2 linked regions of the Nothobranchius furzeri genome follow. The protein of the gene in region 1 interacts with the protein of each later gene in a pairwise test. Links are inferred from orthologs where the notes say so. Each region holds a gene or a part of one and is shown in the gene's direction. Other genes may lie near its edges. The genes, in order: znrd2 and cct5.

Region 1 (4,555 bases):
AGATAGATAGATAGATAGATAGATAGATAGATAGATAGATAGATAGATAGATAGATAGATAGATAGATAGATAGATAGATAGATAGATAGATAGATAGATAGATAGATAGATAGATAGATAGATAGATAGATAGATAGATAGATAGATAGATAGATAGATAGATAGATAGATAGATAGATAGATAGATAGATAGATAGATAGATAGATAGATAGATAGATAGATAGATAGATAGATAGATAGATAGATAGATAGATAGATAGATAGATGATAGATACATACATACATACATACATACATACATACATACATACATACATACATACATACATACATACATACATACATACATACATACATACATACATACATACATACATACATCACCACAGGCATATATAAGCAAACGTCGGATGCCATCTTAGATGGGCCTCCATTCACCCCAGTGCATTCATTTCTACTGAGGAAGGTGCTTATCCAACTTGAAATCACATTTTATCAAGCTTTTTTCACGAAATCAGACACATGGTATGGTATAATAATTAAAAGTAGATGAAATAAATTAAGATATAAAATTCCATCAGGTAGGCTAGAAAGGTCCATAGTAATCCCATGTGATCTGTTTTCAATAGTACGCCAGTTGTTGCAATCATAGATATGTATATAAACACATGACAAACACACGATTCATGACAGAATAAAAGAAAGTCAATAAATAGGTCGAGAAATAGTGAAAATACAAAATAATTAGCTGGGTTACATTTTATTGCTGGCGGCCCATTCTAGCTGACCGATGTAATTTGGATGTTGGTTGTCTTATTTTTTGGGGTGCACATTTTGCATATGTGTTCTGTTTATGTGGGCTTACCTCAAAATAATCTTGAAACATCTCTAAACAAAACCTATTTCACAGAACAGGAATAGATTAAGGCTAAATTATGTATGTATATATATATATATATATATATATATATATATATATATATATATATATATATATTGCTGGCTACCTGTCCAGGGTGTACCCCTCCTGTATGCCCGTTGACTGCTGGAGATAGGCTCCAGTGCCAATACAAAAAAATAAAAAAATAAATCCCCAAACACAGCCATTTGGACAAAAAATAATTGGCTGTCGTAAAATCGTTATTGGTTTTGTAAAACCAAATAAATTACTTATTGTGGTCTCAACCTGAATAACACGCAAATAGCCTATAGGTGGGGCACATGGTTCACAATTAAGTCACTTTCAAAAGCAAAACCGTTTATTTTAACATTTGCAAGTATGTTATCTCAAGCCTATGTGTTCTAAGGTTTGTATCAAGGCAAATCGCTTGTAAATGTGTTAATATTTAATCGAGTAAAGATTGTTTTACATCAAGCTGATCGCTCACCTTCCAGCTGCTACCATTGAGAGCAGAGGTCTGTTGTCTGGGGTAAGATGGCCGCCGTTTAGCTACGCCCTCAACTCTCGCTTTCACCAACTAGTGTTTATATCATGTATATGTCGATGGTTTATATACACATAGCTATGGTAGGCTGGAAAAAACGGGCAAATTTGTCCACTCTGCATTGACTTTGGACAGTAAGGAGACCCATCCAATATGGCGGCGACACAGTGACGCTCTCCAGCGCCGGGTGTCTACATGTCTATGCGCATCACCCCCACATGGGGGCGCTCTAACCCGCTGCATGGTTTCAGTTTGATGAACGAAGAGGAAGTCGACGACAGCGCCTGATGTCATCACGCAGAACGTGTAGCACTGAAGCAACATGGCTTTGAATGGAGGTATGTGAACTTAACTGTTATTTCCTTGCTAACTTTGCCGTTTCACTGTGTGTTTTAGTGTCTTACGTCGTTTGGCACTCATTTAAGCGGTGATTTCTGCGGTATTTTTATTTTTATTGTAATATTTTTCATCGCCACCGGGGAAAGTGTTATCTCCACGATAACAGCGTTGTATTTCTGGCTAACTTGTCATTTCCTGACCCCTTTTGATAAAAATTCAGCCAAACAACGAGAAAATAAATCACCACGCGTAAATATTAAAGCTGTGTTTCTGGTTGTGTAGCTTTGCACTGGTGCGATTCAGTTAATTTACTCCGTTGTTGCTGACCTGCAGATGAAGAGGACTTTGAGTGGGAACCTCCATGTGAGGCGGAGATGAAGGTGATCCAAGCTCGAAGGGAACGGCAAGATAAAATCAGCAAGCTGATGGGAGACTACCTTCTAAAAGGCTACAAGATGCTGGGGGAGTGCTGCGATGCTTGCGGGGTGAGTTCAGGCCCGAGGCGGTTCTGGGGTGGGTCCAGGGTGGGCCAGTGCCACCCTGACAGCAATCTTGCACCTCTCTGTGGCCTCCCTGCTGAGGACAGAGCCTAAGCATTAATAAGGAATTTATCTTTTGTTTTATGAAAGTATTTTTGCAAAATGTTTACTTACTGACTTATTCAAATTACCTTAAGAGAACTGCGGTTATCATTTTGTTGTAATGACACACTAAAAAAGGTAAAAGCAAATCTTCAAAACAAGCTAAGCTTAAACTCAAACACTGTCAAGGAACGCTCACCCCTCCCATCAGCGATTGTCCTTGGCCGGAAACAGGAACCTGCATTGCCAGAGGAAAAGAGATGGCGCTAAACACCGGTCACTGTTTTCTAGGTCCAAACATCTTTTGTTGACTGACTTCAAGTGGTGTTTTTTTGTTCTTTTTGGGCCTCTGGTAGTTTGTCCTGAAGTTGAAGTAGTAACAAATATTATAAAACATAATTATGGCTATATAAGTGATTGTGTGTATTCGTGTGTGTGTTTTCAGACTATTCTTCTACAGGACAAGCAGCAGAAGAACTACTGTGTCTCGTGTCAGGAGCTGGACTCTGATATCGACAAAGATAACCCTGGTGAGCGCCAGTTGTGTCTGCTCTCCCCTGATTTTGGAGCTCATTAGGCCCTAAAAAAGGGCAGCTGGTTCCTCTGTGGTGTCTTTAGGATTTAATCTCTCCAGTTCATATTTCAGTCCCACCTCTTTGTTCCGTTTTCCAGCTCTGAATGCTCAGGCTGCATTGTCTCAGGTGAGAGAGCAGCAGCTTGCAGCTCAGTCCCCTCCACCGACCCAAGCCTCTCAACTCAACGAGACACCCTGCAGCAGCAGTCAGGCAGGGGTGACGGTTCCTCAACCCCGACCAGAGCACTGTGAGGGCGCTGCTGCTGGAGGAAGAGCCCTCCTGCCTCCACCTCCCGCCCCATCTCCTTCAGCTCCTGTCTCCAGCCCAAGCGTAGCTCCCATTCGTACCCCTGTCAGTCCGCAGAGCGCCGCTCTACGACCTGTGCTGCAGGAAGCCGAGGAAGCAGTTCTTACTAAACTTCGCTGGGCCACTACCCAGTTACAGAGTTCATCCTCACTTGAGGCAAGCATCCAGCTCTGCAGCCTCATCACCAGCTGCGCCAGCTCACTGCGCAGCCTCAAGGAGCTCAGCCAGTAACCACAGGAGACTGGTTGACTCTACGGAGTGACGGGAATATCTTTTCTTGTTCTGGCTGCTGTAGGGTACAAACTTTGGGTCGGCTTTATCTCTCTGCCTAATTCTTTGCTTAAAGCTCAAATTAAATGGAAATTGGATCACAATTCAAATGTGCTCAAGTTCCTCTTGAAAAAGTGTAGGTGTGCCGATGGTAGAAGTATGTTGCTTTTGTCAAACTGTAAATTATGAGTACAAACATTCATCAGTTGTCAAAGCAGATCGACTTTCTTTAGTTGTCTTTGATCGTTTGATGAGTAAAAAAGGTTTGATGTAAATAACATAGTGTGTCTGTGAGGACATTTTGTAGTTCAAATTTTAAATTGAGACTCAGAATCTTCATTTTCATATTTAATCTAGAACATACACACCTTTCCCGCTGTACATTATTAGGACTTAATATTTGAAAAAATTAGTGATCCGTTTTCTAATTATGTGACTTAGAATAAATTCAGTTCTGCTCTGTAGATGATCATTTTGTCCACCAGAGGGCGCCGGTTTACATGCTAGCACATAGGTGGTTAAATAAAAAGTTTATTCTCAAATGTGCAACTTTCATGTAAATCCTTCGTTTTAACTCGCTAATCTGAAGCCTTTTGGAAACTGACAGTTTTTCTTATATAAAGTGTTTGTGATGAAGCTGTTGAATTATTTCACTGCCATTTTGTGTTTGGACTACATGACATGTCCTAATTTAAACAGAAACAAGATAAAAAACGTGTGAACTGATCAAATTGAGCAAATCTAGTAGAAAAAAAATAAATAAATGTAGTGATCAAATCGGCTATATCCAGTCCAGAAAATATATTACTGTTGCGTTTTAAACCATCAGGCTTTGTTCAGAAACCACCTAAGTAACTGGCTAGTGTCTTCATTAATCTGACATAAGGATTAATTAGCTGCATCAGGAAGGTTTTGAAGGCAGACATTAATGCATTGTGTCTCATTAGGGGACCACCGGTGAATGCCCCCATCTGCACAAAGAGCAGCATTTATTTATTACCAGGTGAGGACGCTCGGCGTTCCTACAGCCGATCCAC
Region 2 (4,565 bases), on another chromosome or scaffold:
CGTTCAGAATGTTCACCAGCGTGCAGAAGAGTGTTGTAATAATTTACTAAAACCTCTTTTGCAAATGTTAGCCCCTATTTGTACACCACAAAAAAATGACCTTTGACCTGCTTTTGAGATTTACCTAAAAGTGCAAAGCAAAGGTGTTTATAGTGGTCAGAGGAAAGAGTGTTCTTCTTGATCCGCCTTACAAATTTGAGGGCATTGTCTGGTGGTTCTCCGTCTCCAGTGGTGGACGTAACAAAGATCACTGGGGCATGCTCCGTCTCCAAATTGTACTGGAATCAGTTACATGATTAGTTACTTGGGTTTATGTAATCCAAGTGAAAATGCATTCAGTTAAAACCCGCTACCTCAGGGACCTCATGTTGAAAGATCTCTGTGGATTTCTTACAAGAAGATGACTTAGGCTTGAATAAACTGTATGCAAAAGTTAATCCAGATGTATGTACGGATTTACGCACAATTCCTTCATATGATCCATCAAAGGTGATATTGAGCATAAGTGAACACTGGACACATAATATGCATGCTTTATTATCCAACAATGTAATTGCAACACGTGAAGTTATTATTTATTTTTTGTGCATCTGGTGTTAACAATATTTATTTTCACTGTTTCCCTGCAAGCCCACTATTAAGTGTCACCAAACACGCAGGTAAAGGTAGAAAAGCACATAAGCCAGCCGTGAAATAGGTGTGGGAAAAGGGTGCATGCTACGATGATTTAGTGTTAATACATGAGTAGTCTGACCTGCTAGACTCGTCCTAATACACGAGGCCCCTGGCAAATTCCTGCGGCTACTGAGTCTGTTTCACGTAAATTTATTAACATCTACCTTCTCATTTTGGTCCAAGCAGCTGAGATCAGCAGTCAGACCGTGCTCCTCAGCCTCCTCGGCTATCCCCTCAGCTATAGCCTGAGCTTGGCCCTTCTGGGACCCAAACAGCACCACAAATCGATGCTTCACCTCACAAGGCATGCTGGGGGGAAACAGATAAACAGATAAATATTTAGGCAATTCTAAAACGCCACAGGTAAAATAGTGAGACTAACTAATCAATTATCAGCTGCATTTTAACAAACATCTCAGCTTACCAACATACTTGGACAAATAAAAGGCAGGCTGCCACAGAAACACGTTTAACACACCGCTACGCCACCATTACCGTCAGTACCAGGATGTTGCGTCAAACTTTGACTAGTTACCAAAACAGCGCACGTGGACGTTTTTCACTCAAGAACACTTTATGAACATAACATTTCATATTTGGTCCGTAAACTAATTCGGAATTCCGAGAAACTCGACTCACTTTCTTTAGAGAATCGTGTTTTCTGGCATTAGTCCGTAATAAATACACAGGAAATACAAGCAGTTTAAAGTTAATAAAGTATTTCTACCTTTTTAAATTGTATGAAAATTCACCTCGTCAACTCCTTGCCAACATACCGGTAATTAGTCTTGTTACTGAATTCACGCGAGATCTGAGCTCAAACTGAGATTGCGCGTGATCGGAACAAACCAAGTTACGACAAAGACGTTCCCCTTGTTTAAAATTTGTTGTCAGTTGCAATGATATTAATTTGTATGATTGTGACTAATTTATGATATAGTTGTTCAAGCCTTTTGTCGTTTATAAAAAAGGTGACAGGAATGGAAGAAAACACGCTGAACTGAATTTGGTTCCGCCCTCCCCACCCGTGGAGCCTTCCAGAAGTCCCCGGCAGATCCGTGCGGCTTGCAGTTCAGCCACACTCCAGGATCACATCATTAAACGCGTTATTCTGTCAGATAAACGCCGATTGTGTGTTCTAAACTCCAAATCAGCATGTCCACTTTGGGCACATTAGCCTTTGATGAATATGGAAGGCCCTTCATCATCATTAAAGACCAAGACAAGAAGACACGCTTATCGGGCATTGATGCACTGAAGGTACAATGAGCTAGCTAGCATACATGTAGCGTGATGGCCTAACAAGCAAACCTGCTATTAGATATTTAATTTGGTTACAACACGAATTTATACATACGGCTTTGTGTTGCATGAGTGAATTTGTCCAACACATTCTGATGTTTGTGCAAAATAAGCTGAATTAGATTAGGAAATGAAATGAATTCGTTAGCTATGCTAAGAAGAGGCCCATGTGCTCCCTGTGCGTTCATCTAGTAGGAGGTGCTACATAGGGCTGTACCCTGCATGGTCATGTACATCACCCATACAGCCGACACGCTGTTTACATGCCTTTTGAGGGTGACTTTTAGAGGTAAAATGTGTTTTGATATGCACTTGTTTTGTTTTACAGTCTCACATAATGGCAGCCAAGGCAGTGGCATCAACGCTTAAGACATCTTTGGGTCCAAACGGTACGATCCAGTGCAGTGATGTCATTTCACTTGAATAACTGCTGAGATGTCGAGAGTCTGTGTGACCATTAGATTATTAATTTAATCTAGTTACAAACACAGCAGGTTTACCATGTCATGTCACCGTTTAGGTCTTGACAAGATGATGGTTGACAAGGATGGAGAAGTAACTGTCACTAATGATGGCGCCACCATTCTCAGCATGATGGATGTGGACCACCAGATTGCCAAGCTGATGGTGGAACTGTCCAAATCCCAAGATGATGAGATTGGTGATGGAACCACTGGAGTTGTTGGTGTGTAAACGTGTGCAGAAGGAACATTGTGTGAATGCTTTTTGTAGATGAACATGTGATATATGTTCTGTGTTAATTAATTTTATATAGAATTCTTGGTTAGTATTGATATTTTTATTTTAGTTAAATAGTTTTAATTCGGTAAAGTGCATAAAATTAGGTTTTGGCAGGTAAATTATGAGTTCCTAAAAGTGATTTGTGTGCTGCTACTATTGGGGCATTTTAGCATGCAAATGAATCAGAAAATGTCTAGATATCGGCCAAAAAGTGACAACTCGTATCGGCAATGACTCATACTTGTTGGTATTGGGGAAAGAAAACCCCATAACGGTCTACCTCCACTACCTACTGCTCTTCTAATGCATTTCTGACTCTGTTTACCTATTTTCCTGCATCCTCAGTGCTGGCTGGATCGCTGCTTGAGCAGGCCGAGCAGCTGCTGGACCGAGGAATCCACCCCATCAGGATCTCCGATGGTTACGACCAAGCTGCACGCATAGCCATAGAGCAGCTGGACAAAATAGCAGAAACTTTCCCCTTCGATCCCAACAACACCGAACCACTCATTCAGACTGCCATGACAACGCTGGGGTCAAAAGTGTAAATTAAATTATTATTTTAGTAGTTGTTGATGCCATTTTCCTGTGCCCCTGTGACCTGGCTGCTTTTTAAGTGAGTTATTGAGATTTGACAAATCACCTTTTAATCCTATTGTTGTTATCTAGCATCAACCGGTGCCACAGACAGATGGCGGAAATTGCAGTGAATGCCATCCTCACTGTGGCCGACATGGAAAGGAAGGATGTAGACTTTGAGCTCATCAAGGTGGAGGGCAAGGTGGGAGGAAAGCTGGAGGACACACAGCTCATTAAGGGAGTCATAGTGGATAAGGAGTTCAGCCACCCTCAGATGCCCAAGGTATGATTTAAAATATAAATGTTTGTTGTAAATATTGCTGCATTTTTGTGATGCTTTAACGTGCCTGAGCTAACAAATTCTCTTTTCAATTAGCTTCTCAAAGATGTTAAAATCGCTATTCTAACCTGCCCGTTTGAGCCTCCTAAACCCAAGACCAAACACAAGTTGGATGTGACCTCCGTTGAGGACTACAAAGCCCTCCAGAATTATGAAAAAGAGAAGTTTGAGGAGATGATCCAGCAGGTTAGTAATTCTCACAAATCCCGATGCTACAAAAATGACTTTTTGTGGTTCATGCAAATCAAGGAAGAATAAAAACACCTTAATTCTAGGTCAAAAGCACTGGTGCTAACTTGGCCATCTGCCAGTGGGGCTTTGATGATGAGGCCAACCATCTTCTGCTGCAAAGCGAGCTGCCTGCTGTGCGCTGGGTTGGAGGGCCTGAGATTGAGGTGAGGTAGAAGTCTTGCATGTGAAAGGTCAGAATGAGCTACCCTTGCTACGAGCTCACCCTTTGGTGTTTTGTTAGTTGATTGCTATAGCTACCGGAGGCCGTATTGTGCCGAGGTTCTGCGAGCTGACACCAGAGAAGCTCGGAACCGCTGGCTTGGTGAAGGAGATCTCCTTTGGCACAACCAAGGATCACATGCTCGTCATCCAGGAGTGCAAAAACACCAGGGCTGTAACCATTTTCATCCGAGGCGGCAACAAAATGGTACGCTCTCACAAGGCTGTATCGTTTTTGTCCTTTTTCATCACATTCATGTCTAATGGTCAAAACCTTTTCATTAGATCATTGAGGAAGCCAAGCGTGCTCTCCACGATGCTCTGTGTGTAATCCGCAATTTGGTGAAAGATAACCGTATTGTGTATGGGGGCGGAGCTTCAGAGATAGCCTGTGCCCTGGCTGTCAACCAGGCTGCAGATAAGGTGACAAATGAAAACCATTTTCTTTGATAAAGAACTGATCTGTTTATTGCTCGCT

The links.
Region 2: the proteins of znrd2 (region 1) and cct5 interact in binary tests that used the Homo sapiens proteins (3 or more experiments, as listed by UniProt). The two-hybrid records come from large-scale screens. The link is inferred for Nothobranchius furzeri from reciprocal best matches to the Homo sapiens genes ZNRD2 and CCT5.

The regions. Positions count from the first base shown.
Region 1 is NC_091750.1:56,222,016-56,226,570, reverse strand, and holds znrd2 (protein ZNRD2), read left to right. Parts: upstream 1-1,690; 5' UTR 1,691-1,769; coding exon 1,770-1,785; intron 1,786-2,119; coding exon 2,120-2,271; intron 2,272-2,812; coding exon 2,813-2,897; intron 2,898-3,039; coding exon 3,040-3,479; 3' UTR 3,480-3,768; coding exon of another isoform or gene 3,769-3,781; 3' UTR 3,782-4,154; downstream 4,155-4,555. Other genes in the region: leucine repeat adapter protein 25-like, read left to right, coding at 3,769-3,781, 4,405-4,555. UniProt on the Homo sapiens protein: Might play a role in mitosis. Antigenic molecule. Could be a centromere-associated protein. May induce anti-centromere antibodies.
Region 2 is NC_091747.1:54,097,949-54,102,513, reverse strand, and holds the start of cct5 (T-complex protein 1 subunit epsilon), read left to right. Parts: upstream 1-1,676; 5' UTR 1,677-1,830; coding exon 1,831-1,935; intron 1,936-2,305; coding exon 2,306-2,366; intron 2,367-2,497; coding exon 2,498-2,662; intron 2,663-3,063; coding exon 3,064-3,262; intron 3,263-3,387; coding exon 3,388-3,580; intron 3,581-3,673; coding exon 3,674-3,823; intron 3,824-3,912; coding exon 3,913-4,032; intron 4,033-4,109; coding exon 4,110-4,295; intron 4,296-4,372; coding exon 4,373-4,510; intron 4,511-4,565. Other genes in the region: mtrr (methionine synthase reductase), read right to left, coding at 125-278, 840-983. UniProt on the Homo sapiens protein: Component of the chaperonin-containing T-complex (TRiC), a molecular chaperone complex that assists the folding of actin, tubulin and other proteins upon ATP hydrolysis.